Linked DNA regions of Danio rerio. The protein of the gene in region 3 purifies or fractionates together with the protein of the main gene of each other region. This does not show direct contact. Links are inferred from orthologs where the notes say so. Each region holds a gene or a part of one and is shown on either strand. Other genes may lie near its edges.

Region 1 (11,633 bases), on a different chromosome or scaffold from region 3:
GATATGAAACCAAAATATCTATCTGCTTGTAGACATGGTAAACATGGCCACAACTTAAATTTGTTTGTAGAACCACCCTTATTCAATGTTCAAAGCTAACTTTCTATTCATAAAACATTTTAAATGAGTATGTTTATAATTACAAATGAGTTTGATGAAAATAAAATATGTGTGAAATAATGTTCCATCACTGTACATCATTCAGTGTAACAAATATATGGATTAAAATAACAAAAACATACTTATTCTGTCCTGTACTTATTAAAATGTATAAAAGTTAAACTTTTATCTTAAAAGAAGGCTACATTTATTGTTAGGCTACATTTAGTGCTACATTTACATGCTTTATGTTACACCAATGGCATTGTTGTTGTCCTCTTTATAAACATTTAAAATATAAGATGACTATTTGACTTATATCCATCATTATTATCTGATACTGCAATCTATAAAGATTGTTGTGCAGCTAAATAATGATGTGATTTAATATCTATTGAAATTGGCTGTAGTGTGTGTGTGTGTGTGTGTGTGTGTGTGTGTGTGTGTGTGTGTGTGTGTGTGTGTGTGGTGTGTGTGTGTGTGTGTGTGTGTGTGGTGTGTGTGTGTGTGTGTGTGTGTGTGTGTGTGTGTGTGTGTGTGTGTGTGTGTGTGTGTGTGTGTGTGTGTGCGTGTGTGTGTGTGTGTGTGTGTGCGTGTGTGTGATGCAGATGGAAGGGCATCCGCTGCATAAAACATATGCTGGAAAAGTTGACAGTTCATTCCGCTGTGGCGTCCAGATAAATAAAAGGACTAAGCCGAAAAAAAAATAACCTAGTTTCAAGTCGCCTGTCAAGAACCAGACTGAATGTCTGTTTCTCTCGCCTCCTAGCAGCCATCAAAAAGTAGGCAATGTTAGCTTTAACCTTTAGCGTCATCTGGTGTACACTGATAAAATAGTCTGTTTCTACCGTGTTTATTTGGCGCTTGTTCAAATGTAGGCCTACGTCAGACTCAGAATAGTTTGTCTTTGTACCTATTCAAATAAAACTTAAACTTGTCTGCATGTATCATGTGTTAAATGAATCTAATTCCTATCCCCTAAGATAACTTTCATTTTCTCTAGAAACTATCAGCCGAGCTCCTTTTAAGGCACAATACAAGGAACCGGTTTCATTGTTTTCAGCGCAGACTTATGAAAACATTTGTGTGTATTTCCTGTTATGCAAAGAGAAGACTCAATGAAAAAGAGACCAATACGAGCATGGTTTTCTCTTATTTTAGTGTTAATTTACACTTAGATAGCCTATATACTCACTCAGAATTTTGAAGTGTCTCACTTTGCCATATATAAAGTGAATTGCCAGAAATTAATAAAGGCTAAATATATAATTTTAATGTGTCTACGTCTAATTTACAGAATGAATACTAGCCTACTACTTGTATTAGTTTTATCATGGTTATTCATGAACACATTTTTTTCTCCTCACCACTGCTTCATTTGGAACAACCTAAGTATTGTCTACAAAAACAAATTATTATTTTTCAAGAATATTTTTTGACTGATTTAATAGTCAATTATTAGATAGCATTGCATTGGTAAGTTATATTTATTTTCTTAGTTTTTAAAAAAGCTCAATTTTGAACCCTCAGTATACAACACAGTAATTAATGCCATTTCCATTTAAAAACTTTATTGAAAGGAGTACAAACTTTTAATTTGGATCCTACCGATAGAAGGGATATCAATAGTTGAAAACAAATTCAATAATCGTATAATGCAGAATTATTTTAACCAAAACAATTCCACCTTCTTCTTTTAAATGTCTGGCCACGTATAAAATAAATTGGGATGCTACTTGGAATCTTCCACATAAATATTTGCTAACCCGTTCATTAATTAATTTTCTTTTCGGCTTAGTCCCTTTATTCATCAGGGTCCACCACAGCGGAATGAACCGGCAACTTATCCAGCATATGTTTTAAGCAGCGAATGCCCTTCCAGCTGCAACCCATCACTGGGAAACACCCATACACTCTCATTCACACACATACACTACGGACAATTTTAGCTTACCCATTTCACCTACCACACGTCTTTGGACTTGTGGGGAAAACTTGAGCGCCCAGAGGAAACCCATGCGAACACGGGGAAAACATAAAAACTCCACACAGAAATGCCAACTGACCCAGCCAAGGCTTAAACCAGCACCCTTCTTACTGCGAGGCAACAGCACTACCTACTGCACCACCACGTGGCCCCTATTTGACAACAAAGTAAAAGAAATCACTTACAAAAATATTACATAGTTGCTATACTTGTAAAAGTTTACAGCAGCTTAATTGGAGTTCACATGGTTAATTCAGTTGATTGAACATGATTTGAAAAGGCATACATCTGCATATATAAGGTCCCAGGGTTGACAGTGCATGTCAAAGCACAAACCAAGCATGACGACAAAGGAATTGTCTGTGGACCTCTAAGACAGAATTGTCTTGAGGCACAAGGCGGGGAAGGTTACAGAAAAATTTCTGCTGCTCTAAAAGTTCCAATAAGCACAGTGGCTTCCATCTCCCGTAAGTGGAAGATGTTTGGAACCACCAGGACTCTTCCCAAAGCTGGCGGGCCATCTAAGCTGAGTAATCGGGGGAGAAGGGCCTCAGGGAGGGAATCAATAACCTGATGGTCACTCTGTCTGAGCTCCAACATTCTTCTGTAAAGAGAGGAGAACCTTACAGAAAGACAACAATCTGTGCAAGCAATCTACCAATCAGTATAGTGGTCAGACTAAAGCCACTATTTGCCTGGAATTTTCTAAAATGCATCTGAAGGACTCTCAGACCATAAGAAACAAAATTCTCTGGTTTGATGAGACTAAAATTTAACTCTTTGGAGTAAATGCCAGGTGTTACGTTTAAAAAAAAAAAAAGGCACCACTCATCACCAGGCATCCCTGTGAAGCATGGTGATGGCAACATCATGCTGTGGATATGTTTTAAGCAGCAGGAACTGTAAGACTAGTCAGGAGAGAGGGAAAGATGAATGCAGCAATGTACAAAAACATCCTGAATAAAAAAAGCACACCGCCAAAAATCAATGGAGTGGCTTCACAACAACTCCTTCACAACAACTCCCTGAATGTCCTTGTGTGGCCCGGTCAGAGCCCATACCTAAACCCTATTGAACATCTCTGGAGAGATCTAAAAATGTACATTGTCACTTACCATCCAACATGATAGAGCTTGAGAGGTACTGCAAAGAGCAATGGGCAAAAATTCCAGAAGACAACTGTGCCAAGCTTGTGGCATCATATTCAAAAAGACTTGAGGCTGAAATTGCTGCCAAAGGTGCATCAACAAAGTATTGAGCAAAGGCTGTGAATACTTACTTGTGATTGTTCAGGTTTGTTTATTTTTAATAAATTTGCAACAATTAAAAAAAAAAAAAATTTTTTTTTGCATTGTCATTATGGGGTATTGTGTGTGGAATTTTGAGGAAATAAATGAATTTAATAAATTTTGGAATAAGGCTGTAACAAAAAATGAGGAAAAAGCGAAGTGCTATAAACACTTTCTGGATGCATTGTACGCTCCTCTTTTAACATTTTTGTATTAAATGTTTCTATATATGCATTTCCTGTAGTAAAAGTGAATTTAATAAATCGTGTTAATAACTAAAATTGGAAAATGTGTGCTATATATTCATATGCAATTTGATAATTTGATAAAGTGATTTTGTTGTATAATAAAACTATGTGCTGGTTCTTGTAAAAAGCAAAAAAAAAAAAAAACAACAACAACTCATAAATAGTGGATGGTGAGAAGAAGTTGCATTTACCATTATAGTTCATTAGTGTCATCAAAAGTCGGAAAACTTGTTTCCTCTTTAAAAATAATCGAAAAAACAGTGTAACAGTAAAAATGTAAGTTAAACAGTGGAAGGAAGTAACTTTGCGATAGAGAAGCACACGCTTCTCTGAAAATAAGCTGCAGCGCCCTCCCACACACACACAAACACACACACACACACAAACACACACACACACACACACACAAAACAACGTTGTACGATTCACATGCAAGCGTCTCCCCCATTATCCAATCACTGTTGTTCTTACTCTCGCTCGAACCGCCGTCTAACCAATCGTCGTGTTCGTTTTTTCAGAGGTAGCAGTGGCGGTAATGTTATGGAGTTTTCTCCCCTGCTCATCAGTGGCAAATAGGAGACCCAGGCCTACTGGATACGCTAGTTTTACCGGCTCTTAAAAATCAGCATTCAAGTGGTGGTGGTGAATACATTACGTTTAGTCCTGCATGAGAGCCAACGAGCGCATCGAAACATGGTGGTTCTCAAAATCAGAGACCAGGTAAGTGATGTCAGAAAAAGCTAGCCGAGTTCGGCTAACAAGTGCTAACACGCTAGTCAACTGCCCAACAACATCACAGACGATCACACTATCCGATACCACGGAATGAAAGCTGTTTAACAGAGTAAATACGCGCTGCATTTCGCTGTAATAGAATAATAATTTGAAACGTTTTTATTTGGGTGTGTGTTTTCTCGTCCATTGGGATTGTGGCTAGTAGTTGCTAAGCTAAATGTGCGCGAGCCACGATATTAGTTTATCAGATCACAGGCTATTAAGTGTACTAATTTTGCCTTCTGTAATATGATAAGTGTAATTTTAAGTCGCACAAATCTACAGTTTTATCGTTGTGTACATGATAAGGCAACAGTTGGCTTCGTGAGGTTAAATGGTTAACATTTCTTTGCATTGCTGGCTGTAAAAGTGCATATAGAAGTTGATTTAGCCTTTTTTCATTGCTGGATTTAAAGTTAATTACAGCGATAACTTTCACGACAGTCTGTTATATGACAACTTTTCAGAGTGCACGACAGGTGTATGGCTGTCTTTCAGGGATGGACAAACTTGGTCACTGGTCCCAGAGAGTAGAATAATTCAAATAGCAATTGAAAGAGTGTGATGGTGAATTTGCTTTTGGCATATAAGTTAATGTAAACTTGACTGTCTTTATTCAAGCGAGGTGTCTTGCATGGTGCTGATTCCAATTTAGAGTGACCTTAGAAGTGTAGCAGAGATGTCATATATTTTGGAAATTTGACCTTTGTAATCATGACACTGCCAAAGTTGCTTTATTTGATTACTGCCATTATAAAGCAGCCATATTACTACTTCGCTCTGGATATCTACATTTTTAAATGTGTTTATTTAACATTTACAGGTTTATTTTGTGCATGTGTATATATATATATATATATTTTTTTTTGTATTTTTAAAAAAAAAAATTTTTGAACCAATGTAACCATTTTCATTTATTTGATTAATGCTTATAAGTACTAAATATTGATACAAGATGTTCAATTAAATGATTAGAAAATTCATTTAACTTGTAACGATTGTAATGATTCACTTGACTCAATTCGATATGATGATACGATATCATGATCCTAAGCTCACCATACGGTTTTAGTCATGATTTTTAAACAAAATTATTTGAAACTAATTTAAGGTGAACAAGAGAACTTTCATTTTATTCTTAAACGCTGCACACTTTTTTTTGTAAAATATAACATTTTCTGCTATAACTAATTAATTAATAAAAAATAATAATACAAAATAAAGAATAACTCATTAATATAAATAAACAAACTAAAACTGTGACTGCTGGGATTTGACATTTTAAAAAATAAATATTGGCAGCATATCTTTTCTGGTATAAGCTGCGGTCTTTGCACTTGGGATGCTCGGATCAGGGTTTTTGCAGCTGATACAAAGTACTGGTATAACCAATTCATAGTGATTGTCCAATATAGAGCAATTACCAACCTACATCACACATGACGTCACACAGGTTCCCGGTTACAAAAAAAATTTGAGTCCAAAAATAGAAAACTTAACTTTTACCATACACCACACACTGCTTTAATACCGACTACAGACGTCTTTGGCTAATGGCTCGTTTCCACTGACTGGTACAGTACGGTATGGTTCGGGTCGTTACGGGTCACCTTTATCAGGCTTGCGTTTCCACTACCAAGGGTACCCTTTTGGTGGGCGTGGTGTATGACAAAGTTTCAGTCGACGTCATTTTCGCTCAAGAAAATGTCTACAATAAAGCTGCACAGGTCGTTCACATATCATATGAAAAGCACTTCTCAAAAAACAGATGCTTTACACACATAAATACTTGTGTAAATGTTTATTACTAACTTTTCTATAAACAGTAGTTGATTATAACTGCAGATCAATGATGGTGCGAAATAGCCTTCTGTAACATCTATAATTATATTAAATAAATAAATAAATGAACTTATATGAACACATACAGACCCTTACAGTCTCCGATATGTTACCAACTACAGAAGAACTACACAAAGCAGACATTTCGTCGTTAATTAGGTTCAAAACAACACAAAGTATAGCCTACAGTCAGTGAAAACCTCTCATTTGTGTCTGTAATCTTCAGCAGCACATGAAGCCTCTGTTAGAGAGTCATTCCATCATTCCCAGTTTATAATAGTCCAAAAGGTGATAATAAAGATTAAAACAAGGCAGTTTGTTCACGTTTGCTGAAGAAATAACGTGCTCCTTGGCTTCGCCTTTTTCCCGCGCTCCACTCTCGCGTTTGTCCTTTTCTTTCTGAATGTGTCAGCTTCTCACAGGATCAGGTTTCCAAAGCTTGTCAATAATCAAGTGCATGTTATTATTATTAGATCAAGAAGTTTGTTATTTCAGATAGAGACGCGCGGCGAGCGCAAGAAAGAAAGCGAAACCACTCGGGCTTCAGACTGGCTCGTTAAAAACTTCACGGCACAGGGTGAACCTGCTCTTCTTCATGGCTTTGTGGCTGTTTATCATGACGACGACAGGGTTTGTTTGCAGGATTGACCATGGCTGCATATGTATTTATAATTCCGCTGTAATCTCTCGCTGTGTATTTTAAACATGGCGGGTCCTTTGTTTACATTCTGGCTTGTTGAGTCTACGAATGACGTATCCCTGTAAACCAATAGCGTTCAGCTGCGCGTGTAGCTCCACCTTTTGGGACCCTTTCTGCAGTTTGGGACCCTTTCGAAAGGGTCCCGAAAAAGTGGTACGGTACTGTTTGGTTCTGTATGCCTTTTGACAGTGGAAACAGCCATAAAAGTGTATCAAACCGTACCGTACCACTCAGTGGAAACAGACCATAAATGGGAGCTGAATAAAGTGAGGAGCTAATTAGAAATGCTAGACTCTGCAGTTTTCATGTCATATCAGGTAAGTTCACACTATGCTGAATCACACGCATTACTCGTTTTTGATTGCAGAAATGCTTTCAGCAAAAACAGTTACTTCTGGTTAATTAAACTGCGGACACTGAATACTAAGAATGAAACGTGAAAGTTAAGTTTATTAAGGTAAACTTGGTTTTATATTCACACATTCATTCAGTGAGAACTTGTGACACACTCCCTATATTGTTTACCACGGCACTTTGAATACTCGGTCTGAAATAACCTGCAAGTGTGACTTGAAAACAACATTAAGACTGTTTATTTGACTGTGAACAATGTTGTATATTGATAGTCATTGGCTGCTGATATGATTTCGCTATTTAGAGTTTACAAATAATATTTTTATGAAATTATATCGTTAAGGAGAAAGTCCGAATGTGCGAATATAAAACCGACTTTACCTCTATAGGTTCACATACCCTGCCCTACAGGGGCAGTCCAGTGTCAGAATGCAGTCGTTTTGTGTGTCGGTGATTAATTACCCAGGCCTTGTGTTACGTTAACTCCATCTTCTTTCCTTGTCTTTGGCTTGGCAGAATCTCGGCTTTTAGCTCTACATAGTGTTAAATCTGGTCATCATGGAGCATTATTTCTTGCACATGACCACACAGAACATCATTGTTGGCATCCAAAGACTTGTAGATTTTAGGGCTGTGCAATTAATCGAAAATCCGATTTCGATTTCGATTATGGCTTCTAACGATTATGAAAAACCATTAATCGAGATAAACGATTATTGCATCATATACCAAAAGCGCGAAAGACCGCGTGTTTATGTGCGTGTACAACACGCACACACGCATAAGCACGCGGTCAGCATTCGGTCTCCTTCGCACACTGAGACGAGCAGAGGAGCGCAGACATCTAAAGTAATCTTAACATGAGTGCTTTAATGGTCAAATAGGTGTCAAAACGCGGCGATTAGTGATTATTCATATTAACCCTCATTTGTGTAATAAACAAACGAGTTGAGAATCAAAAGACACGTGAAAGAAAAACCATTAAAGTTACAGTGCGAAATGCTGCCGCCTGTTTTATCATTAATCAAACGATGAGAACATCCCTTACTGCTCCTGACTGAAGGACTATCAGTCGAAGTCAGAATTATTAGCCCTCCAGAATATTAGCAACCCTTTTCCTCCAATTTCTGTTTGATGGAAAGAAGTTTTTTTAAACTTATTTCTGAACACAATAGTTTTGATGTATCATGTCTAATTACTGATTTGTTTTATCTTTGCTATGATGACAGTACATAACATTTTACTAGATGTTTTTCAAAATACAATCATTTAAATTAAAGTGCAATTCAAAGGCTTAATTAGAGTAATGAGACAAGTCATTGCATAACAGTAGTTTCTTCTGCAGACAATCAAAAAATATATTGCTTAAGGGGGCTAATAATATTGACCTTAAAATAGGTTTCAAAATAATTAAATCTGCTTTTATTCTAGCTAAAATAAAACAAATAAGACTTTCTCCAGAAGAAAAAAATATTAGAAGAAATACTGTTAAAATTCCTTGCTCTGTTTAACATAATTTGGGAAATAGTTATTTAAAAAAACAAAATTCTCAGGAGCGCTAATAATTTTGACTTCAACTGATAATCGTGATTACAATTATGACCAAAATAATCGTGATTGATTTTTTCCAAAATCGAGCAGCCCTAGTAGACCTTTAACTTCTCTCTTGTAAAATCACTTGGAGCTTCAATGAGATTGTATAATTGGGGCTGGATGCTTGGTAATTTAGTCTTATCCAATATCCATTGGGTGGGTGCTATCGCAAATGGACCTGTCAGATGAACACCGCTCACTTTAATGTTAATTTTGCAGAATCACTGTGTTTATCACTGTATAAATAATATATATAATATGTAATCAATATATCTTATTTCTAAGACAACAACAAACTCTGCACCGCATCTGATGTCATTACCTCGCTGTAAATGCTAGCGCTCCCGGTTTCTTTCTGCCACCTCTTTGCGCGCGCATCCTGAATGTTTAAAAACATGGTAATTAATCTATAGAGTAATGATTTTGATGCTTCAAGCTATATAATGCACAAAGCACATTTTGCCTACAAGTATGACACTTAAAGGTGCAGTAAGTGATCTGCCAAAATGCTAATCGCTTAGCATCTTATCTTTGGATTGCGGGGAGGGACTGTGATTCAAAGCCACACCCCCTGAAATCGCAAGCGCATGCACCGCGTCACAACAGCAGACAGACAACCCACTAGTTCATGTCATTCGCCAGTTAGTTAGTGTTTGGCCAGCGGCGTGCAGGAATTACTTTTATTACTTAGGCACACTTACATGCTATTTCAGAGCGAATATTCAGAGTAGCATGGTAAACAGTATAGGAAGGCTGTCATTTTTTAAAAAAATGACCCAATGTAAATATATATGCAACTTCAGCTCAATAAAGCAGTTAGGCGGAATAGCGCTATTTACTGATGTTTTGTTGTTAAACTAAATATAAATCTACATTATAGATGCTGTCAAAGGACCTTATGAAACTGAAAATAATCACATCAATCTTATCTTTCACTGGGAGGTTTCAGTGGCTGAACAACACGTCTGTGCATATAAGTCATTCATAACACAACACAATCTAACATAAGCTTAGCCTGACTATGTTTTAAAACAACTTTACCTGTCTAACAGTAATCCTTCAGCCATGGTGTTGTCCTTCCTCCCGCGTGCTAAAGTAACTCTAATATTGATTCAGGTTTTTAAAAGTTTCAATTCACCATTTGATTTCTCCCGGTCTGTCTCGTGACCGCACGGCTGCTTTAAGGGCGAATACTCTGGCTTTACAGTAATCGGCCCGAGCTCGTCTGTCCTTCGGCGCCTCCGACTCTGCATCGGTGAGCAGCCCGCAGCTTGCTCGAACGCATGCATTGGCGCTAATTGCGAATCTGCGTGAACAGATGCGCAGAAGTCCTAATCTACATATGCTGACAGACAGTCTGACCTGCTTATCGGAATTATGGGAGATGTCGGCCCAACTCTATTTAATTGGATGAACATTTTTTAGTTTTATGCTTTAGCCAGAATATAAAAATACATATAAACACATTTAGATCATTTACTGTAATCATTACTATTGGACTGTGAAGAGACTTTCAACGAGCACAACAAAAAATGCTTCTGAAGACAATCACCTACTGCACCTTTAAGTGGAGATCTCTCCTTACCTAATGGCCTGTTTCCGCTGACTAGTACAGTACGTGTCAGTGTGGGTCACCGTTATCAGGCTTGTTTCCACTGCCTTAACCTTATGAAGCGCTCGATGAAATCTCGGTCAAAGTAAAGCTGTATGGGTCGCTCGCATATCATATAAACCAGGGCTCGAAATTAACTTTTTTTACTTGGTAACACCCGTGCTTTCAACTTTAAGTATTTAGGAGCACCAGAAAAAATTTAGGAGCACCCACCAAAAATGAATGAGCACCACTGCAAACTGTATATTAGGGGATTTATTGTATTTGAAAACAACATTAATTAAGACTAACAAAACCAGAAACAACTATCTAACTAAAGCTATGATGGTTGAATATTTGTGCAATAACTCCAAAATAATGTCTAATAATTGTAAAATATTTATTATGACGATGATGATGACAATAATACTAACAATGAATTACATTTCTCATGATCATGCTGCCCTAAATGTGTTGAGTGTGAGTTATCTGCTATATGAAGTCCTGTTGTTACTTTATGAAAATAAATTTATGGTTTGCATCAAACGTAAATGAAGCATTGCAGTAAGAAATATTTATTTTGTACTATTGTTTTTTATATGCATGTCAATATAATAAATACAAAAATGAAAGATTATGATAAACCATTCAATTTAAGGCTGAAAGCTGCAAAGCAGTCATCAGTGATTGAACAGAAAAATAATATACATCTCAGGAAAGAATGGACAAAAGAAAGGAAGAAAAATCTTGGTTTCGGTTTGTGTCATTTTAAGTCTCAATATGTGCTGATTTTCATCTCTCTGTGTTTGTAGCATAAAGCAGGCAAGTTAGCTGACCCAATATATTAGGGGGGCAGAGCAGGATTCTCCCGATGAACACTGGCGAAATTTTTTGTCATAAGCCGCATCAGTTTAAACTTAGTAAAGGCGAGCTTCTTGGGCGATGGTGTTAGATTTTACATTTAGTGAACATTTGGGCTGAACACGCAGTGAATGCAACGCACCTAGATTAGGTGTACTTTTCACTCTTCAGTCGTTTGCATTCGTTGTGGTAACAAAAGCTCCCTATCATTTGACAGCGGAAAGTCTTGAGTGATTGACAGCTGATATGAACTGATATAGCGGCAGGGAAAAGCGATTTTTAGAAAAAAAACAAA
Region 2 (11,422 bases), on a different chromosome or scaffold from region 3:
TGTATATGTTTAATACTCCTATTTTATTTACAGCTGCAAACCAAAGCACTGACCAGTGAAATTTTCAGAGGCAGAAAGGAGAGCTACCCTCAGAGCGTATGCCAACCCTTCGCTGACACTAGGATAAGTAAGAATTTGTCATTTTTTTTCTCAACTATTGCAAGCTACTATTAACTTTGCAGTGTGTAAATCCAAAGGTTACAAATAAACAACATTGTTTTTTGGTTGTCTTCAGGTGAACAGGACATAAACATTAAAGTCTTACAACTGATTTGTCCTGAAGGCATTAAGGTTAGTAAAACTATGAGCTATTCTAGCACTTTTAACAACAAAGTCCTTATATATACACTGTTTTAAAAGTACTGTTTAATCGAGAGAAGATTTTTTTTTTACATTTTAACACAATCAATTTAATAACTAATTTAATAATAATTTATTTAATTTGTCTTTTCCATAATGACAGTTTATGATCCGTCTTTTCGATGAGATGTTAAACAGAGGTTCTGACTCTCTGTGGTCATTTAAAATCCCGTTGCACTTCTCTTAAAGAGTAGGGGTGTAACCCTGGCCAAATTCCCTCCATACCCTTCAAAGCCTCCCAATCATCACCATCCACCGAATTAGCTCTATCATTGTCTCTCTACTCCACTAATTGCTAGTATGTGGTGGGCGCACTGACACGGTTGTCCTGTGGCAATTAAAAGGCCTAACTGTTTAATTTAAAGGCTTAACTAGATTAATTAGGTTAACTAGTTAGTTAATTAATTAATTAGACAAATTAATAAACAACATTAATTTGTTTTGTAGCAAAAACTTTAGCAGTAACCTCAACCTTAGCAGTTTTTAAATTGTTTTGAAAATTTTTTGTTTTACATTGCAGCCAAACACGATTAAACAAACAAAAAAGAAAAGTGTAATAGAAAATACTGTGAAAAATGTGAATGTTCTGTTCACTTGGGAATCTGTGTAAATATAATATGTATTCTTGTAATTTTTCTAGAAAATAACAATTTGTTAATTTGTTTTATTTATTTATTTTAATTGCAAATCAGGGTTTTTCCACTAAATATTGATTTTCTGACACTTCTCATTTTAAATCATTTGTATTGTGTTGTCTAACAAATAAATATAGACATAAAGTCTAAATAATCTAAAAAACATTTTTGTTATTTTATGCCAATTGTTGGTTAAAATAAAAAAAAAACATGTATTAATTTATTGTATTTATTTCTGCAGAATATCTTTTTTAAATTGGCTTGAATGAAAGCATAAAAACTTTTAGCCATTTTTAAGGTCAATAATATATTTTCGATTGTTTAGAGAACAGACTACTGTTATTCAATAACTTGCTTAATTATCATAACTTCCCTACACTGTTAAAAATGCTGGGTTTCATACAAGCAATTTGTGTTGGGACAACATTAAGTAATTAAGTTTACTTTTTACAAATTTAAGTGAATTGAACATAAAACAAATAAGTTGTCCAAAAAACTCAAGAATTGTTTAAAATAAGCTAAAACAACAAAAGTAATTTAAGCAAACAACAAATGTAATTTGTTTGAGTGTAGTTAACATAATAACCTAGTGAGGTCTTTAATTTGCACTTTAAGCTGAATGCTAGTATCTTGCAAAAGAACAAGTAAAATATTATGCACAGTTACCATGGCAAACACAGAACAAATTAGTTATTAGAAATTAATTGTCAAAACTATTATATATGTTGAAAAACTCTTCTCTCCATTAAACAACACTTGAGAAATGTTTTTAAAATAATAAAAATTTCACAGGAGGACTAATAAAATATGAACATGAATTCATTTGTTGGGTGTAAACATATTTCTGTTTTATTCATAAATCATATTTCTGTTCCTGCTGCAGGAATACTTAGTTAAATGTCTGTAGGTGTTTAACTCAAAGTGTAGTAGACACTGGAGTTTTATTTGTTAGTTGGACAGATGTTTATGTCACTGGTATGAAAAAAGTGATTGTGTTATCTCCCTCTGTACAGTACAGTGTTCCAGTGATTAAATATGACAGGAATGGCTTTCGTCCACGTTTCAGACAGCTTATCTTCACTCAGGCCGCTGCGTATCTGGTGGAGGAGGCCAAAATCAAACAGAGGGTGAATTACAGCTCTCTAAAAGGTCAAATTTCAGTGTTGTTCATTAATTAAACATCTCAAATTGTGTGAAATGTCCAATTAATTCATAATCCATGGGTATTTTTATTTATAAATGTATGATATTTTGATATTATTAATATTAATATCCAGCAATAATTTTTCTTCTGTCTTGCCTACAACATGGCTACATTTTGGCTGCCAGTTAAAATCTATCTGACTTTGAAAAACAGTCCAAAAATAGATTAGTTTTCTATTAGAGTTTCAATGACAGGCCAAATTCAGCCTTGTTTTAGCCAAGATGTCTATTAAACTAAATGGTTTAGTGGAATATAAAACTAGAATTTGATATTTCATTTAGAGATGTGTAAATATACCTCTTGATGTAGTTTTGTTTTGTTCAGACTATGTTGTTTATTTAGTCCTATTTTAATCCTTTTAACAGTCCTGTAACATGTCACTGCTAAATTAACCAGTACAGTAGACAAAGCATAATGTTAAAAATAAATCTATTTGTTTACAGTAATGAAAATGAGGCTGTGGGGAATGTGAGTTCTATGGATTGTACTGTTTTTTAAAATACTGTACTGATTATTATGCTAACAATAACAGTTTTCTAGAAAGTGGAAATCAATTGAAAAATTAAAAACAATTACTGATCAGAAGACTGGATGTAGTGCATGTCATTGTGAAGACAGTGTCTGTCTTTCAAAGCCTTGTTTTCCTTTAGGGTAAATTAAGACATGTCTGTAGTCAAGTTCATTTCCTTGTCAAAAATTTTATTTACATAATAAATATTTGCTTTTAACAGGGGTGTCTGTCAGCAACTTAAGTGACAACTTCCTGATACTCCATGTCGCGTGTGAAGACACAAAGCAAAAAGTGGGTGAATAACAACACTATATATATATATATATATATATATATATATATATATATATATATATATATATATATATATATATAACCTACAATATCACTGAAATATAATGTATTTTTTAAGGGAGACCTGGTCTTGCAGTGCAGCTATCTGTTTGAGGCATTGACAAAAATCTGTGTAGTGACAAAGAACCGCAGCCTCATCAAAGTTGTACAAGAGAGGTGAGATATTTTGTCTAAACAGCCTCAAATACACAGAGAAAATATTTGTTGTGTTTAAAATGAATGTGTTTTACATACAGTGAATTTTTTCATTGTTGTTTTTGTAGCGTGAGGTTTGACATCCAGCCTGGGAAAGAAGGCTTTGTTGATTTTAAGAGTAGCAGTGAATCCATGGTCTATAGAGCCAAGAACGGACACTTGATGGTGGTGGGTCTACATAATGCAATCTAAATAACATAATACACATATTATAAAACAATACATATTTAGTGCTGTTTTTTTGTGACTACAGATTAAGCCAGATTTTATATATATATATATATATATGTATATATATATATATGTATATATATATATGTATATATATATATATATATGTATATATATATATATGTATGTATGTATGTATGTATGTATGTATGTATGTATGTATGTATGTGTGTGTGTATATATATATATAATATGTATATGTGTATATATATATATATATATATATATATATATATATATATATATATATATAATATGTGTATATATATATATATATATATATATATATATATATATATATATATATAATGTGTGTATATATATATGTGTGTGTGTGTGTGTATATATATATATATATATTTGTGTATATTTAAACATCATTTGGGAAATATTTGAAAAAGGGAAGAAAAAAATCACAGGAGGGCTAATAGTTTTGACTTCAACTGTATGTTTATCATTATATATGATAATAATACTATGCTATTAATTAAGCTATAATATCATGCAGTGTAGTTAATAAATAATTCAATAAATAAAACAATTGACATCCCTTCACAGTGATCATTTATACATATTTACATGTTTTCTTTTGCAGGAATCTGCACGAACAAAATCTCGATGACAAAGTTTTACCTCACAGACTTCTCCACAGTGGAACAGTAATGCATGGAGGCACACAAATTAATACATTCATCAGCTCAATAAGAAACAAAATAACATTTAGACCTAAACAAAATATGTGAATCACATGTGGGAGGCATAATATGTGCTTTTAGGGTTCCTCAAGGGATTAGAGTTGGGTAAAACTGCTTTAGAATATTTTTAAAAATGACTTTATTCTTCAAGGGACGAATAATAAAACTTTATTCAACAATTTATTCACGTACGCACATTTACCATTCACATTTATTAAGAAGAAAAGTCAACAAGTTGAGCTGGTGTATTAAAATAGCTGGACTTCTGTTTTTTTTTGTTTTGTTTCGTTTGTATAATTTGAAGTGTTTAAATTCTGTATTTTTAGCTGTTTACTGTACATTGTTTTGTTGTGCTTTTTATAAACTCATATTTTGTTATAAATATTCAGCATTTCATGAAAAGGACTAATATTTCTTATCAAATGGAATTGAGTTTGTCTTTGAGCTTGCTAAACTGTGCACTTTTCTGATGGACAAAATGTATGTTAATTGTTGCTTTAAAGCGGAACTTTTTTTAAAAAAAATTGTCCAAATGAAGTGCTGTAGCCTACTTGTTAATCTCATACATTGGGTATCATGACAGAAAAACTTATACTGTGCTCATTTTTGTATTTGTATTTTGTTTTATCTCCCATACTGCCAAAACCTGACAACATGCAACATGCCAGCTTCATTGCATTGACAAACATACACGTAAGCTGGTTATGCCCAGAACACATGAGAAAAAACAATGTATTTACATAATTTGAATAAAGTTTCAAATATAAAATGCCATTTAATATGAGATACAGAACATATGTAATATTTGTAAGCTGTAATATGATATATGTTTGATAGTAATTCCTGGACAGCCAGTTGTTGTCATGCTTTATCTGAACAATCCATTGAAATTTGTTTGGCTGTTGTCTTAAAATGCAGCAGAAATATATGTAACTTAATGAAATCAAGACGGTAGACTCATTTTTATAATAATGTATTGTACTTTTTTAATTTGTGATGTCTTTTTTCTCTTGGTAATTCAGTTCATCTATTGTATAAACTATTTGCAGTGGTCATCACTTGGTGGACGGTTCCTGATGTTTCCAACTAAAGCATACAAATAAAAGCAATGTAATAAAAGTAATGTATGAAATCATTTTTTTATTAATTCATTTTTTTATTGCAATAACAACAGGCAATTTTAAAAGACTGAAATACAATCAGATAGAAGTATAGCACAAATAATATAAATATTTTTTCAACAAGAGAAAAGGGACAATTTTAAAGAAATATAGTAAACGTAAAGCAAAAGAAAGACAAAGAAGAAACAAAAATAGATGAGAGGGCACATGAAAAAAATAGACAAATTAATGCAGGATATCAAATAAAGCACATATTTTATAAGTTTTAACTGCTTTCTTGTTATGAGAGTCTGTAGTGGTTTTCAAGTGCAGTTGTTATTCTCATTTGGCTTACATTGAGTATATTTACATTTATGAATAAAAAAAACTTTATAATAAATAATATGAGGTTTACAAAAAGTTGAAATAGTTTTTTCTTTAATATAAAACCCCAAAATGACATGTAAAAAGAAAAGAAAATTCACCACACACCTTTTGGAGAGAAGGCTACGCGTCAAGCAAACCTCTGTTGCCACCTCGTGGTCAGTCAGTAACTTGAGAATGTTTTTATAATAAGCCGAATGGAAGCAACCGCAATTGAATCACTTTAAAAAAAACTTTTTTTAATAAGCAGGCTCTTGCTAAATTAGTTTTTCAAGTTTACTTTGAGAACGCGATGAACAGAATGTAACGACTTTGCAAGTTCCATATAAAATCTGGCCTGCGATTGGCTGATCATCTTGTCAATCATCACCACTCTGTGTGACGTAGAAAGACTTCCTCTTCGCGTCTTCCATCGACTGTTGTTCTTAAAATGGCGCCGTTGGACCTGGATAAGTATGTTGAAATTGCGAGGCAGTGCAAATATCTACCAGAGAACGACTTAAAGGTGATTGATCTGAGTAATTTTATGTTTCTCTTAGAATATTGGACATGCTAGCGATTGATGTATTTATAAACTCGTGTTGGTTGTGGCGGAAGGTGTTAAAATAGCAGTGTGTCAGTGCAATGCAGTCGCTGCGTATGAGTCCAGTCTATTATCTTATGTTCCGGGATTGATTTCATTCGTATTTTCAGAAATAATCGTATATAACGTTACGACCGTAAGGACAGTTGGGCATAACAAAGTTGTGTAAGGGACTATTTTCTTGCGGACACATAGGGTGGCTAACTTCTGTTGCTATCATGCGAACTAGTTTGAAACGCCCATTTTATGCTTTCCATCATCAACCTTGTTAAATCTTAATTCATGACATCTGCGTCTTTGTTAGCAGGTTTCAGGTTTGATTAAATCGTCCTCCATTCGTTTGTTTTTAAATATAATTCTTGTACGTAAACAACTGGGCTTCTGGATCAGTTCATAATGATGCAATGCAACGTCTTACCAGTTTCATCCAGTACCGCCAAATATGACACAAAAATAGCAACAGTGATCAAACAAATGATTATACGATGTTGAAATAATGTGGCTTAGGAAAAAAAGCTCATTTTTAAATTAATAAATGTGACCTTAGATGCGCCGCTAGATCTGCTTCTGTCACCATCGTTGATAGCATTCACTTGACAAACTTGTTCAAATCTTGTCTTCATTTCTATTGCTTTGACAGAGATTATGTGACTATGTATGTGACCTTCTGCTTGAGGAATCAAATGTACAGCCAGTATCCACTCCAGTCACTGTATGCGGGGACATTCATGGACAGGTGTGTGTGCAGGCTCCATTAATGCATCCCTGGTATTGATGTTGAGCTGATGTCGTGTTTTTGTAAAAACATGCATACTGACTAAGCTTTTTTTTTTCTTTTATAAATAGTTTTATGACCTATGTGAACTCTTTAGAACTGGGGGCCAAGTACCAGATACAAACTACATTTTCATGGTGAAGTATATTACAACAATAATTTTAATTGATGATTTGTGATTAGTACTGCGTTGGAAATTGTTCCACCATCATCTATTGAGGAGACATTGGTATGTTTTCTTTCATCCAGGGTGACTTTGTTGACCGAGGATATTACAGCTTAGAAACATTCACATATTTGCTAGCACTTAAAGCAAAGTGGCCTGACCGCATCACACTGTTGCGTGGCAATCACGAGAGTAGGCAGATTACACAGGTCTATGGCTTTTATGGTAAGGCTGCAGAAATCAGAGATTTTGAAATATTTTGTTTTGAATTTACTTGGGATTTTAATTGTTTTGGCTTTCTGTCTACAGATGAGTGCCAAACTAAATATGGAAATGCTAATGCCTGGCGATACTGCACTAAAGTATTCGACATGCTCACTGTTGCTGCCGTAAGTGTTGATTTTGGAATACCTATCTGTCTGTCTATCTGTCTGTCTGTCTATCTATCAATCACACATCTCAACATTATCAATATTTGTTTTGGTCTTCTTACTAATGGGCCTCACTCAGGAAACACATGTTTTTGTTTAAATCAAATAATTTTAGGATGTTTTTGTTTAAATCAAATAATTTTTGGATTAATGAAACTGTTTATATTTCTAAGTATGAATTGGTATAAAAGAAATGTAGGAAACTATACATCCAGTTATTGTCTTGCGCTTATCCGGAGCTAGGTCATTGGGGCAGCAGTCTCAGGAGAGAACCTCATACTTCCCTCTCTCTGGGCACTTTCTCTAGTTCCACTGGGGGATCTTAAGGTATTCCCAGGCAAGCGAGTGACAGTTCCTTTAGCGAGTCATTGGTCTTCCCCTTAGCCTCCTCCTGGTGGGACAAGTCCAGAACAGTTCTAGGAAGCATTCAAAATAGATGTCTTGGCCACGTCTCTCCATGTGGAGTAGCGACTCTACACTGAGTCCCTCCTAAGTGATAGAGCTCCCTCACTCCATCTATAAGGGTACCCCCTGCCTCTCTGCGGAGGAAGTTAATTTCGACCACTTGCACCCAAGATCTTGAATTTATAGTCATGACTATAGGGCTGTGTCCGAAATCGCATATTTCCCTATTATATACTATGTGGAAAATCAACATGTAAGTGGAGCAGTTTGTCTTAATTCATATTATTTGGAAAAAACAGTATACGAGAAGTACTTGGAACACCTCTTGCTTCCAGTGAGATTGTGAAGTGTGCATCCGATAACCTCTACACTATCCTATGCGCGCTGTTTGTGTTGCTCTGTAATAACTCTTTCGAAACGCTAGCTGGCAGTGAGGTTTTTATGTTCCTCTGTGTCGAGTTTCTTCACTGTTTTTTTTTTTTTCGCTACCTCAATGTAGAACAGGGGTCTCAAACTCAATTTACCTGGGGGCCGCAGGAGGCAAAGTCTGGGTGAGGCTGGCCCGCATAAGGGATTTCACAAAAAAAAGTCCTCAAATGTCATTATTAACAGTTTTAATTATTTCTTCTGAACATGAAGTGTCCTGAACATTAATAGAACATTGAGTGAAGATTATGAACAGTTCTTCTGAACATGGCATCTTTTGCCTACTCCTTGCTGCCAGAGACTTGACAGCGCTTCTTCTCACAAATCTGAACCACATTTGGCTTTAGAGCGGAAGCAGTTGAGACCCTCAGTATGGCTTGGGGGAACTCACTCAAAACTTCCATTCCCTCACCTAAAAAAAAGGCGTATATGTATAAATAAAACACCCCCACCCCACTCCAGTCACATCAGTCTGTACCAGTCTGTATCTACCTATAATATATATAAGATGCAGGCTGTAGCTAGGTAGGTGGCAGGCTGCAGATAGGTAGCCAAGTGGCAGGCAGGGGCTGGAACAGCTTACCTTGGTTCTGGCCGGCGCGAGTTCCCTCCTAACACTTCCCGCCCGTCACAGCGTCTAACAAAGGGGCGGGGTGCGTGGTGACTTCACCGGCATCCCCGCCCCTTTGTTTACACGGCGGGCGGGGAATGCCAGTGACCGCTGTGTACGGATAGAATCAGCGGAGCGGGGAGCGCTCTCTCTCCCCGCTCCGCTGATTCTGTCAGTGTACAGCGGTCGGCGCGGGCCACAAAATATTGCACTGAGGGCCGCAAATGGCCCGCGGGCCGCGAGTTTGAGACCCCTCAGGGCTCGAAATTGCGCCCATTTTGGTCGCACATGCGCCCGAAAATTAATCTATGCGACCTCATAATATATTTGGGCGCATTAGTGCGACTGCAGATAATGGTTGTAGTGCGACCTGTTTTGATTTTTTGTAAAAACGTGCTGAATCGCTCTTCCCTGCCGCTAAATTGGTTCATATTAGCTTTCATTCACTCAAGGTATTCCGCTGTCAGATGACAGGAAAGGAGCTTTTATGACCACGGGAAATGCAAACGGCTGAAGAGTAAAGACTTAAAGCACACAGGTTTGCAAACCCCACCTAAAGTTGAGGTGCAGATGAGAGCGATCATGACACGTCACGTGGTGAATAATGATCCACCAGCTGAGATCAATTGAGTACGCGCTTCTTGGAGAAGGCGCCCGAATCTCCATGCGTCGCATTCACTGCGTGTTCAGCGCAAATGTCCGCTAAAAGTCAAATCTAATACTGTACATATCATCGCCAAAGAAGCTCGCCTTTACTAAGTTTACACTGAAACTGCGGCTCATAACAAAGAGCGGTATTTCGCCGGTGGTCATCGCAAGAATCCTGCTCTGCCTGCTCATAAATTGGGTCAGCTGACTCGCCTGCTTTTCCACTAACACAGAAAGATGAAGATCAGCTCAGACTGAACCTTTAAATTGACACAAACTGAAACCAAAACTTTTAAAGAGTGATAGAAGTGAGACTTTACTTTCTTTCTTTTGTCTATTCTTTTTTTGAGGTGTATATTATTTTTGATTTATTTACTGATGACTGCTTTGCAGCTTTCATCATTGAATTGAATGATTTATTATAATCTTTTGTTTGTTTTGTAGCAGAAATATTATTTAATAAATTGATGTGCATATAAAAACAGCAGTTCAAAATAAATATTTCTTACTGCAATGCTTCATTTTTGTTCGATGCAAACTATACAGTTATTTTTCATAAAGTAACAGACATTTTATAGCAGATAACATACATTCATGCACATTCAAGGCAGTATCATAATGAGAAATGTAATTCATTGTTACTATTATTGTCATTTTCATCATCACTAATATTCTATAGCCTAATTATTAGACATTCATTTTGGAATTATTTCACACGAATATCAATGTCCTCGCAGCATTAGTTAGATAGTTGTTTCTGGTTTTTGTCAGTCCTATTGATGTTGTTTTAAAATACAATAAATCCCTTAAAAAGCAATTTGCAGCGGTGCTCATTCATTTTTGGTGGGTGCTCCTAAATTTTTTCTGGTGCTCCTAAATTTATTTTGGTGCTCCTAAATATTTGAAGTTGGGAGCGCCGGTGCTACCAAGTAAAAAAGTTAATTTCGAGCCCTGCCCCTGATGTAGAAGCAGCTCAAACTAGCTCATTTTGATGCAGGAACCGGCGGACGTGCAACAACTTTAATCATAAGATAAACAAAACAACCGTTTCTGGTGGTCCTTTACAGGTCTCGACACTTTGTCACCTTAGAATTATCTATATGATATTTTTGTCAAAATTGAGTTATTCACAGATGCTTATTAAGTGACAACTTATTTACATTATGGGATGTTTTTTTATAAGTTGTTTACATTTTAAGACTTGAATTGACTGATTTATTATAATCTTTCATTTGTTTTGTAGCAGGAATATTGTTTATTAAATTGACATGCATAAAAACAATAGGGCAAAATAAATATTTCTTACTGCAATGCTTTATTTTTGATTGATGCAAACCATAAATTTATTTTTCATAAAGTAACAGACTTTTACTGCAGATAACTTGCATTTAAGCACATTTAAGGCAGTATGATGATGAGAAATGTAATTAATTGTTAGTATTATTGTCATTTTCATCATCATTAATATTCTGTAATTATTAGACATTCATTTTAGAATTATTGCACAAATATCAGTAAGTCATCACAGCATTACTTAGATATTGGTTTCTGGTTTTTGTTAGTCCTATTGATGTTGTTTTAAAATACAATAAATCCCTTAAAATACAATTTGCAATGGTGCCCCTAAATTTTTTTGGTGCTCCTAAATTTTTTTCTGGTGCTCCTAAATATTTGAAGTTGGGAGCACCATTTATCTCTTATGCACTATG
Region 3 (10,897 bases):
TTTGAAACACTTAACTCCTAATGTTGCTAGTTAAAACACTCAATGCATTTTTTTTCAACACATCTCATAATTTTTAAAATATCAACCTTTACCAAATGGTCGATATGGCGGTTTGTTAAAAGTATCGGAATTAATACATATGCTATGAAAAATATAGTGTATAGACCAATTTATTTTAAAATAGAATCAAAATAAAACATTTTTGAATACTAAATCACCTTTATTTTTTAAAGCATGCCATTAAAATATTTCAGATTCACATTTTCTTTTTTTTCTTCTTTTTTTTTTTTAGAATAAAACCAAAATCAAGTGTAGTAGTGCAACAGGATTATCTTTGTTTGATTTATTTGTAAATCAACAATGCTGTGCAGTGTAAACCATTATTTAAAACTGTCAGAATATGGTCAACCATTTGGTAGAACAGGCAGTTACATTTTTAAGCTAAATTTTTAGCACCATTATTACAGTCTTTATGGTCACATGATTGTACAGAAATCATTCTAATAAGCCGATTTGGTGCATGTATCAGCATTGAACATGTTATGTTTTTGTGAAAAAATAAATAATAATAATTCTTAACTCTTTGACTCACTCTATTTGCCACTCTACACTAAATATTGCCTTACTGCAATATTTTGACTGTTTCAAATAATGACTGTTCAAGGCATTTATAGAATGACTGTTTTAAATAATTGTTTACACACTGCATTGATGGTTCACAAAAAAATCAAACACACATAATCCTATTGCATTACTACACTTTATTGTGATTTTATTGTAAAAACAAACAAACAAAAAAATGTGTAATATGAGAATCTGACATACTTTATGGAATTTGTAAAAATAAAGGTGATTTAGGATTCTAAACTGTTTTATTTTGATTGTTTTTGAATAAATTGGTCTGTACACTTCATATTTTCAGATTTTTATAGTATATGTATTCATTCTGGAACTTTTACCATAAATCGACGTGTCAACCATTTGGCAGAGGTTAATATTTTAGAAATTATTGGATGTCATGAAAACAAAATGCATTGAGTGTGTTAACTAGCAACATTACGAGTTAAGAAATGCAATACAAACATTTAGTATTGCAATTAGGTAGTTAAAGGGTTAAAATAGTAGAAACGTCCAGTATCTGTGAAGGTCATTTGATGTATTTGAAAATACTTTAAATAGCATTCATTATTTGTATATAGATAAAAGACGGGACACCCCATTTTGGCATCTAATTTACAAAAGTAATGTTTTACTTTAGTATGCTCATGCAGTATAAAATATTTTTATAAAAATAAATAAACAGCCCATATATATTCAGATGTACAAGTGATTATGCTAAATTATAATATGCATTAAATGAATAACTTCTTTCTTCGAACAAATTTAGTGTTTAGAAAGCTAATGGCAAACTATAAATATTTAATGTTTTTGCCTGATCTTTTTCTTTTTAATAGTCATATAATGTGTCAGTTTTTTATTGTGTTTTGCAAGATATTTTGGATATTTTGAACTGTTGCTATGCTTAAAGTTTTTCTATCTCCTTTAAATCATGATAACAATGTAGGATAGTCATTATAGGGGAAAAAGTGAAATGTGACCCATTTTTAAACCCCATGTGTGGAAAAAGTAAAGATTGATTACACTTATTCTGATGCTTAAATCCCTTTTCTACGTCTGTGCGTACAGCTGAGTTTACTAGAACTGCTTGATATTCTAGCACAAATGAACCTGCTACTAATAATACTAAAACGTGACTGTTTCAGGAAATCGTGAGTTGTGTGTGGTAATTCACTTGTGATGTCAATATCACATTTAGCTTTTTCTTTCAGTTTTTTTTTTTTTTTTTTTTTTTGAAAAAAATCCTAAAATGTTTTATCAGTGTTTTTAAAATCTGTAAAAAATGACAACACATGTTTGCTGGGGAATGGATGGAGGCCAATGTCAAAGCTCTTTTGGGTAAACCTAACCCAACCCCCTTAATCTATTAATAAGCCTTTCCTTCCTCTTAGCCATTCATGAAAGTCAAGATGGCTGCTTGCCTGCGTTTTGTAACCTTTCACCTCAGTGGTGCGAGTCCATCCACCTTGTAGACTGGAAAAACAGTCTCTCGTCTCGATCTTTAATAATGCATCGCTGCGTGCTGCTGTCTCCAGCTATAATAATACGATGCCAGAGCTGTCAAATGGACTTTTGCATTTAATCTGGTATCATTTAATTTCAGGCATTACATCACATGTACATTTCTTGAAAGAACCGCTTACTAAAAGGAAAATGAAACTGCAACGTCATGTACAGATTGAGATAGTAATCATTACAAAATATTTAAAAGAGGTAGTCTGGTAAAAGTGAAGCTGTATTTCTTTTCTTTTTTTCAGTTGCTAAGTTGTCACAACAAGGAACTTGTTTGGTTTTCTCAGCTGCCTTTTATACAGTGTCCCCACAAACAAAACTACTGTTTGTTTTGTCAGTGCCATTTTTGTGCACTGTTTCTGTATGAAATCATGCTCTTTATAGAGTTAGAATAGATTTAACATTTGGAGGTTGTTTGTTTAAATTTTGAGCATTTAAGAGCATGACAAACAGGAAAATAATCTCGTTCTTCTGTTATTTGTTTTTTTTTTAATGCCATGCCTGTGACTAAAAATAGCTGTTAGCAAAGAGCAACTCCAGCATTATGGTTGTGACATTTGCAGTAATAATTTAAAACATAAATTCACAGAGACAGTATGCGTTAACATTATATTGAAACACCTGTTTATATTTTCTAAAACTACTGAAAAGAAAGTCAAAGGATCAGAAAAATGTTGATTTGTAAACATTTGATATTTTTAAAAATGAAAATAAACATGCGTCATGGATGTGATCAAGCGGCACCCTCCTGCTCTTCCTCGTGAAGCCAATATGGAAGTAACTGAAACTGCAATTCATCAACTCTCCTTTGGGGGCAGGCTCCAGGAAGTCCAGATATTCACTGACTGCAATGCTAAATTAGCCAATTTTACAGCTGATAAAAACATGTTTACAGCCTGGTACAAAAGATGGTTTTGGTGCATATTGTTAATATTATCCTTTATGACATCTGTGAGGTGGTGAATTTATTTCGAACTCATTCGTTTAGTTTTAATTAAGTCTGCATAATTAAGGGCGTAGCCACTTGAGTGTCAGCTAGGCCTCGCCGGTTATGCCTGGAATTCATAGCCTTGCTTTTACTAACACGGACTATGTTTGAAGTATTTGGGAGTTATTCGTGTTTTCCTCCTGTAGAAAAACACGTCATGAAAACAATGCTTTATTGATATAAAACCCAGCACATGTGGTCAGAACACAAGAGTTGCAGGTAGAGAAGTATTAAGCATTTCTCCTTAAAAAAAAAAAAAGCCTGTCTAAGCAAAATGTTATGCTCCGCCTCTTTGCCCTTTTTTGGTCAGCCCAGGTCATGCGATGACATGCAAACATAATGATGACAGTTGGCCACGCCTACTTGTAGCTTAATTTGCGCTCTTCAGAAATCTACGGGTGACATCACAGTAGGGCTGGGCGATTTTTCTAATTTTTTTCGAATTTACTTTTTAAGATGATTTAATTTTGAATTAAATCGAGAAAGCGTGATTTTTAAATATATATATATATATATATATATATATATATATATATATATATATATATATATATATATATATATATATTTAATACATTATAATGGACCAATGCACTTTGGTTCACTCTATGAAGCAGGAAGCACACCAGAAGCGCCTCTCGGCGCCGCGCAGCGCCATGGATTTTAGAATTCTAAACAGGTTTCTATACACACACCGGCGCCGCCCAGCCACGATTCAGGACACAGGTGCCATCTGATTAGTTTCATGTTAAATATCATGAGAATGTGCCGTTAGGTGTGTGATAGTTTGAACTGTAATGTCCGCGCCGTGTCGCGGCGCTTCTGGTGTGCAACCTGCTTGACTGCCTGTTAAAGCGTGAAGTCATGTAGGATTTCACTTGTTGCATTAGTCTGAGTCACGTCTGTGTGGATTGTCAAGACATTCCCTCATCAAGTCGATAAACTCGATCTCAACATGTATGAACGACGTAAAAGCCTGCCATGTGAAAAACTGCGCCGATCTTTTGGTTTGAACCTATGGTTTGAACACGAGTTGAGGTGAGGGCCTGTAGCAGTGAAATGAAAGTACCCGCCCCCATGACATCATTTAGCGGACCTAGTTGAAAACCAGACAAATCAGGCAGCATAATACAGAGAGTGGAGCAAAGCGCATCAAAGGATCGGTATTTAAAAGGGGAAAAAAGAAAAATAGATTAACTGTATTAATTTATATTAGACACACATCTGGTACTTGTATTTGCTCCTGCTATACGTCCACAACTTCACGCATTGGGTTAAATTAGGCTTTACAGTTTCCATGTTCAGTCCTTTTCTTCCACTGTATCTTTTTAATTTAAAGGCAGCAGCATTACAACCTGACATTCAGAAGAAGACAAAGTCAAAGCCGAGCTGACAGCCAATCTTTCCTAGGCTCAGCAAAACTTGCAAACAATACCTCTGTATTCCTGCAACTGCAATATTTACTCAAATATTTCTTGTTCAAATCTTCAGCAACGCTATTTAACTCGTAAATTTGTTTTACATTTATTTACACCTTGACCGATTTTTGTATGACATGGCCATTAAAAATACAATGTTCCTTAACCAGATGATTTTTCAAGTTACTTTTAAAGAGAGTTTTACTTCAGTCATGTTGTAATGTTTTGAGAAGACTAGTAACACAATAAAAAAAAAAAAAAATCTGAATCGTGAATCGGTCAAACTTTATAAAAAAAAAAACTAGATTTTTTTTTATTGCCAAATTGCCCAGCCCTACATCACAGATACTACCTCTATATGTTTTAGTTTATAAATGTGACTAAAAAAGTTTGCAGTACACAACATACTTTGTAGAAATTTTGTGAATTAAACTGCACTATCCAAAATACATAATGCTAATCAAAAGAATAAGAGTTGGTCCTTTATAGAACAAACATGATTGATTGTATTTTATTTGACTTTTTTGCAATTATTAGGAAAAATCTTTGTTATGGATGTGACAAATGTGAAATTGCCACTTTTGTGACTCTGGTAAATCAAATATAATTGTTTAAAAAATTTGACAGAGACGTTTATTTTCGCTCTACTGTAAAATACAAGCCCACACAAAAAAACTTGAAAAGGGTTTCGCTATTTTGGTGAAAACTTTTTTTTTTTTCATAGCAAGATTGACATTTGCATGGAATTGCTCCAAAGCTGATGACTAACCTTTGATTGTTTGAGTTAAAGGAGACACATTTGACTGTTCTTTCAAAGGCATTTACTCGAGTATAATGTCCTTTTTGTCTGTTCTCTTTTTCAGGTGTGTGTTGAGTGTATTTGCTGTGGCAGAGGACATTCCTGCTGCATGTGTCCTTTACTCAAAGGTCTGTCCAGTTTCTACCGCCTGTGGTGCCTGTAATGGGCCAGAAGTCCCAAAGAGCACAAGCATTATTTTATTTTTAATCAGAGTTTTTACTCTGCTACGCTCAGGTAAAGCCTATGGGGTAGTTATTAGAATACTCAAATGCATGAGCACAACTCTGTTTCACTCTTACTTCCTGCATCTGAAAGCCACCCACTCGCATTTCTGCATTCTTCAGCAGCACCATGTTTTGGAAGTTTGATCTGCACTCGACGTCCCACATCGACACGCTTCTGGAGAAGGATGACGTTACTCTGACCGAGGTGATGGACGAGGAGGACGTCCTGCAAGAGTGCAAGGCTCAGAACCACAAGCTCGTGGACTTCCTGGTGAGGCCGCAGTGCATGGAGGATCTGGTGGTCTACATCACCCAGGAGCCGAACGATGACGTGGAGGAGAAGATCAAATATAAGTTAGTATCTGGACTGTTCGTTGTAAGGCTGCGTAAATTCGAACATTGCGGCGCTTTTTTTATTCTGCGACATGAATACAATTTCACCAGATGACTTAATATCTCTATTCAAAAAGAATTTATTATGAAAGGTTGATTATGCAGTGGGAGTGCATCTGCATAAAATCTAATAAGCAAACTATGAATCCAATAAAGAAAAAGATACAGTTGAAATAAACTGTTTTATCGTTCTCCAAGTCTATCAGTATTCAGGTACAGTAATTGAAAATAAGATTACTCGTTATTAACGTTAAAAATGATAGAATTTTTTAATCTTTATACAATCACAGGCTTCAAAAACACATGCAACTGTTAAATTATAGTACAAGCTCAACATTGCATATCCTGCAGTGTGACCATTGCGATATCGATGCTGAAAGGATATATTGTGCAGCCCTAGTTTGTTGTCTAATTTGAAGCATGTGAGATTTATTAATTGTTGTTTTGGATTGTTGTGTTAAAGGTATCCCAACATATCCTGTGAACTCCTGACCTCAGACGTTGGCCAGATCAACGATAGGCTGGGTGAAGATGAAAGTTTACTGATGAAACTCTACAGCTTCTTACAGAACGAGCCTCCGCTCAACCCACTGCTGGCCAGTTTCTTCAGCAAAGTCTTGAGCATACTTATTGGGAGAAAACCAGAGCAGGTGCGTGCCCAGACAGGTTATGCCAGTCCCTCCAGAATTTTGTGACCAAAAAAAATTTTTTTGTGACTAAAATGACTCTGATTTTTCCAAAAAAAAAAAATGCCTTTAATAATAAATTTATTATAGTTTTGCTGTGAAAATATACACAAATTTGCACATCTAAATTAATCCTTTTTTTTTTTGACCTTCAAGAACCATTGATCTCTTTTATATATAACGGAAACACTGAGCGAACTAAAGCCTGCTCTATCATATTGGAAAATTAAACCAATTGTTTGAAAATAAATGCTAAGTAGTCTATTTTTTTGGCAGCAATTTATTTATTTTTTATAACCCTTTTTTTTTTTCATTGAGAAAAAAACCTACATACATACAGTACCGCTCAAATCCTGACAAGAAAAAAATTGACCATATATCAGTTCTGTTGGAAGTACTCTATCACAGTGAGATTAGCTTACTACAAAAAGGTACTCAAAACTCTACCTCTCAAACCACCACTCTTAACATTGATAAAAATGTTTATGTTCATAATAAAATAAAATAAAAGGCATATTATACATGAGTAACATTTACAATCATAATTTGGAACTGGCTAAGCCAAAAATGAAAAATTGAAGCAAGGTGTACACGGACAATGAGAGCAAAAGAGAAAGTATAAAATTATTATAAGATAATTACAAAATAAATAAATAACAAAGTTTTTACTTTTTTTTTTTTACCGCTATTTGAACACATTAATGGAAATGATGCAGAGCTTGCACTCTTATGCGTTTACATGCTTATTAGTTGAAATGTGAGAGTGGAGGCTACACCTATGATGAAAGCTGGATATATACAATATATAGAAGTTTAGCAATTGACAACTCATGTGGGCTAGTACAAACAGGCTTTGAATGTGTGTGCCGATAATTTCATAATGCACATTGCAGAAGTGTGTATTGACAACCTGATGGTTTGGCACATTAAATGAATATTTACAATATTTACAATAATATACAGTTATGCAGATGGTGCTTTTTGGCATCATTTGAACGAAGCCATGACTGCACAAAAATTGTAAGAAGTCTGCAGCAGTTAAAAACAATTTGCAAGCTCCACAAAGTTTGCAAAATTAGCCTAATTTTGAGTTTATAATCAGCATTTACAGAATCCTGGAGGGCCTAATATGTACACTCTTTTTACTTTGTATTAACATGAATGTCTTGCGAGCACAACCATGTGTTTGGTCAGTATATTTAAATTATTATTAGATGTTTTGTACCTATTTAAATGCATTTGACCAAAGCAATCTGGTCTAATGCAGTTTTGAGCACCTCTGGATGTGGTTTCTCTCTCCATTAAGCTTTGTCCACTAGGCATGGGCCGCTGTAAGAATTTGTCAGTATGATAACCTTGTATAAAAATGTACTGTTTCACAGTATTGTGATTATACTGCTCTAAAATATATTCTTTTTAAATGTCTGGCCAAAAAACAAAAGCTTTTTTCCCCTTTGTTTGAACACATATTTTATATCTTGTTTTATATACAAGGATACCTTGAAATGGTTATCCCATGTCTATTGTCCACTTGTAATAAGGTTTATGAAAAATCTTAGTGTCTGGTATAAACAAGCCCATAACTGCATCAAGTTGAGCTAAATCTGATGTTTGCTGCTAGATCGTGGAGTTCCTCAGGAAGAGGGAAGACTTTGTGGATCTGATGATCAAACACATAGGGACCTCGGCTATTATGGACCTCCTGCTCAGGATGCTCACCTGCATTGAGCCACAGCAGCTTAGACAAGATGTATTAAATGTGAGTTCTTCTACCCCTAATAAGTATTTGTAAGCTTGCTGTAAAGGTGTGTCGGTCTTGTTGTGGTACAGGGGTTTGGTGTTTTTGTTTTGTAAATATTGACGTGTTTCATTTGAATGAAATCTCTGATTATTTATGTAATCCACTAACTGTCATTGTAACAGCATCTCACAGTGTCCTCTTCATTTGTTCTTCTGCAGTGGCTAAATGAAGAGAAAGTTATACAGCGGCTGGTTGATATGGTACAGCCATCACAAGATGAGGATGTAAGTTCATTCAAACAATCAATCACTTTTTGTTTGTATATTTTATGGAGCATCTATGTTGTGGGGTGTTTTTAATTATAAATTAAAAAATAAAATGTTATTGGAAGTGTTTCTATCTATAAGAAAAAAAATCTAGTTATGAATAATCTAATATTAATTGATAAATGTATAGAAAAGATGTTATTATGTAGTTATTTATATTTATGAATAAAACCTTAAGGCATTTGATGAATATTAAAAAAAAAACAATGCTTATGTAATAATAATTGCCAGAATGTGGTAATTTTAGAACATGACCAAAGCGTGTGTGTGATTTGTTATCTCTGCTTCAGTTCAAATATAAATTAAAGCTGAGAAATAATATTTTTCCCACGATGATGCCTCTTGTACATCATCTTATTGTCTTTTTGGGAGAAGCCCGTGTCGTTTTCCATCAATAAAAGTAACATTAAGTCAGAATTTGCCAAGGGTATGAATGATTTTGGCTGTGACTGTAATCTTGTGAATACATTCTTTATTTTTAAAAGTTTTTTTTTTTTTTTTTAAATACAAATAGTACCAAGTATTAATTATAATAGTTTCTGTAATATTAATCGTTGTATTCCTATTGTTGCACGGCTGACCGTCCCCTATTGTTCTATCCTGGTAAGCTGTCCCTGCTCGCTAGCCGTGTAACAATAATTGCTTGTTCCCTTCACGTAGAGACACTCAAACGCGTCCCAGTCGCTATGTGAGATCATTCGGCTGAGCAGAGATCAAATGTTCCAGGTCCAGGGCAGCTCGGAGCCTGATCCCCTGCTGGCCACTCTAGAGAAGTGAGTTGCTCAGTTTCTATAACAGTCTTTCTAGTGACTTCACAAACTGGCATTTTTGGAGGGATTAAGGTTGAGCTCTAGTTTCAGGCTAATGCTTAAGTTCTGAATTGACCGTTTGTCTTCCTATTCAGGCAAGAGACAGTAGAGCAGTTGCTGTCAAACATCTTTGACAAAGAGAAGAACGAGTCTGCCATAGTCAGTGTAATTCAGATTCTTCTAACCCTCTTTGAAACACGGAGACCAGCGTAAGTGCAGTCTTTTTTTTCCTTCTCTCTCCCCCCAGGTTTCTTGGGTCTGTGTTCATGTCATAATCTTCAGTTTTCTCTTTCAGATTTGAAGGCCATCTGGAAATTTGCCCCCCTGGAATGAACCATCCGTCGTTCTCCGTCAATCAGAGCATTCTAGATGCCGTCAGACCCAGACTTAAAGATTTTCACCAGCTTTTGCTCGAACCCCCAAAGGTGAGCGGGAAAACACTGCGAAATGTGTTCGGGCGAAACTTTAGCACATTATATCAGCTGACCTCACTTAGAACGTAATCTCCGAATTCCTAATTACATTAAGCTCTGCACAACGAGACTTTGTGCCTGTGCTAATATAACCTGGCAGAGTCTTGGACCCTTTCAAAGAACAGCTTGTCTTGCGTGCATAGCTTAAATACATTTAAAGATGTATTTATGTACTCAGAAAACCCTTTAAATTTATTTAAAGGGATAGTTCGCTTAAAATGAATATTGTCATAGTTTACTCATCCTTTACCTGTTTCTTATTTCTGTTAAACACAAAAGAAACTTTGAAAAATGCTGAAAACCTGCAACTATTGACTTCCATTGTTTGTTTTTTTTTCTACTATGGAAGAGGTTACAGGTTTTCAGCTTTCTTTAAAATAGTTGTATTTTTAAAACAGGTGTATGCCAATTAGATTGCGCCATGCAAATACCCTTGAACAGGTTATAGCTGAACATGTTTAAGACACACTAGAACAGTAATGGGATTGCCTGTTGATGAGATATTTGCATTATTTTGTACTTAATATATCTGTTATTGTTACATTTTTATTAGTACGAGACATGATCAATGTGTTGACTGCAATTATTTTGCACTAAAATTAGGCCACATGCAAATGTTGTTATTAATGAAATAGGCTGTGTTTACAGTGCATTCGTTTTCTACTAAAAGTGATCATTGGTAATGATGTATTGTTTTTGTAACATGGTATGAACTGTCAAAGAGCATGTGTATATGTATTTCCTGTAAATACATAGCAAATTTTGGCATGTTGCAAAACATTTGCGTCTCGTGTTTTTTTGATGACGTCACCAGTGACTAGTCGACGTCAATTCGACTTTAATAACATAAGTCGACTTTCAAAAATCTGAAGTTGTTCAACCCCTTCTATACATTAAAGCTATATGATGT

The links.
Region 1: the proteins of ppp6r3 (region 3) and ankrd28b purify together in Homo sapiens (co-immunoprecipitation; 3 studies listed by BioGRID and IntAct, with this or other methods). This does not show direct contact. The link is inferred for Danio rerio from reciprocal best matches to the Homo sapiens genes PPP6R3 and ANKRD28.
Region 2: the proteins of ppp6r3 (region 3) and ppp6c purify together in Homo sapiens (affinity purification with mass spectrometry; 10 studies listed by BioGRID and IntAct, with this or other methods). This does not show direct contact. The link is inferred for Danio rerio from reciprocal best matches to the Homo sapiens genes PPP6R3 and PPP6C.

The regions. Positions count from the first base shown.
Region 1 is NC_133191.1:21,399,850-21,411,482, forward strand, and holds the start of ankrd28b (serine/threonine-protein phosphatase 6 regulatory ankyrin repeat subunit A), read left to right. Parts: upstream 1-4,139; 5' UTR 4,140-4,316; coding exon 4,317-4,343; intron 4,344-11,633. UniProt on the Homo sapiens protein: Regulatory subunit of protein phosphatase 6 (PP6) that may be involved in the recognition of phosphoprotein substrates. Involved in the PP6-mediated dephosphorylation of NFKBIE opposing its degradation in response to TNF-alpha.
Region 2 is NC_133180.1:32,592,427-32,603,848, forward strand, and holds the start of ppp6c (serine/threonine-protein phosphatase 6 catalytic subunit), read left to right. Parts: upstream 1-6,022; 5' UTR 6,023-6,099; coding exon 6,100-6,174; intron 6,175-6,892; coding exon 6,893-6,988; intron 6,989-7,098; coding exon 7,099-7,164; intron 7,165-7,276; coding exon 7,277-7,418; intron 7,419-7,502; coding exon 7,503-7,582; intron 7,583-11,422. Other genes in the region: myo1hb (unconventional myosin-Ih), read left to right, coding at 34-127, 236-291, 2,009-2,144, 2,931-3,001, 3,123-3,220, 3,328-3,427, 4,086-4,112.
Region 3 is NC_133200.1:11,435,415-11,446,311, reverse strand, and holds part of ppp6r3 (serine/threonine-protein phosphatase 6 regulatory subunit 3), read left to right. Parts: intron 1-5,399; 5' UTR 5,400-5,569; intron 5,570-5,679; 5' UTR 5,680-5,686; coding exon 5,687-5,913; intron 5,914-6,415; coding exon 6,416-6,602; intron 6,603-8,259; coding exon 8,260-8,397; intron 8,398-8,597; coding exon 8,598-8,663; intron 8,664-9,365; coding exon 9,366-9,478; intron 9,479-9,609; coding exon 9,610-9,723; intron 9,724-9,809; coding exon 9,810-9,939; intron 9,940-10,897.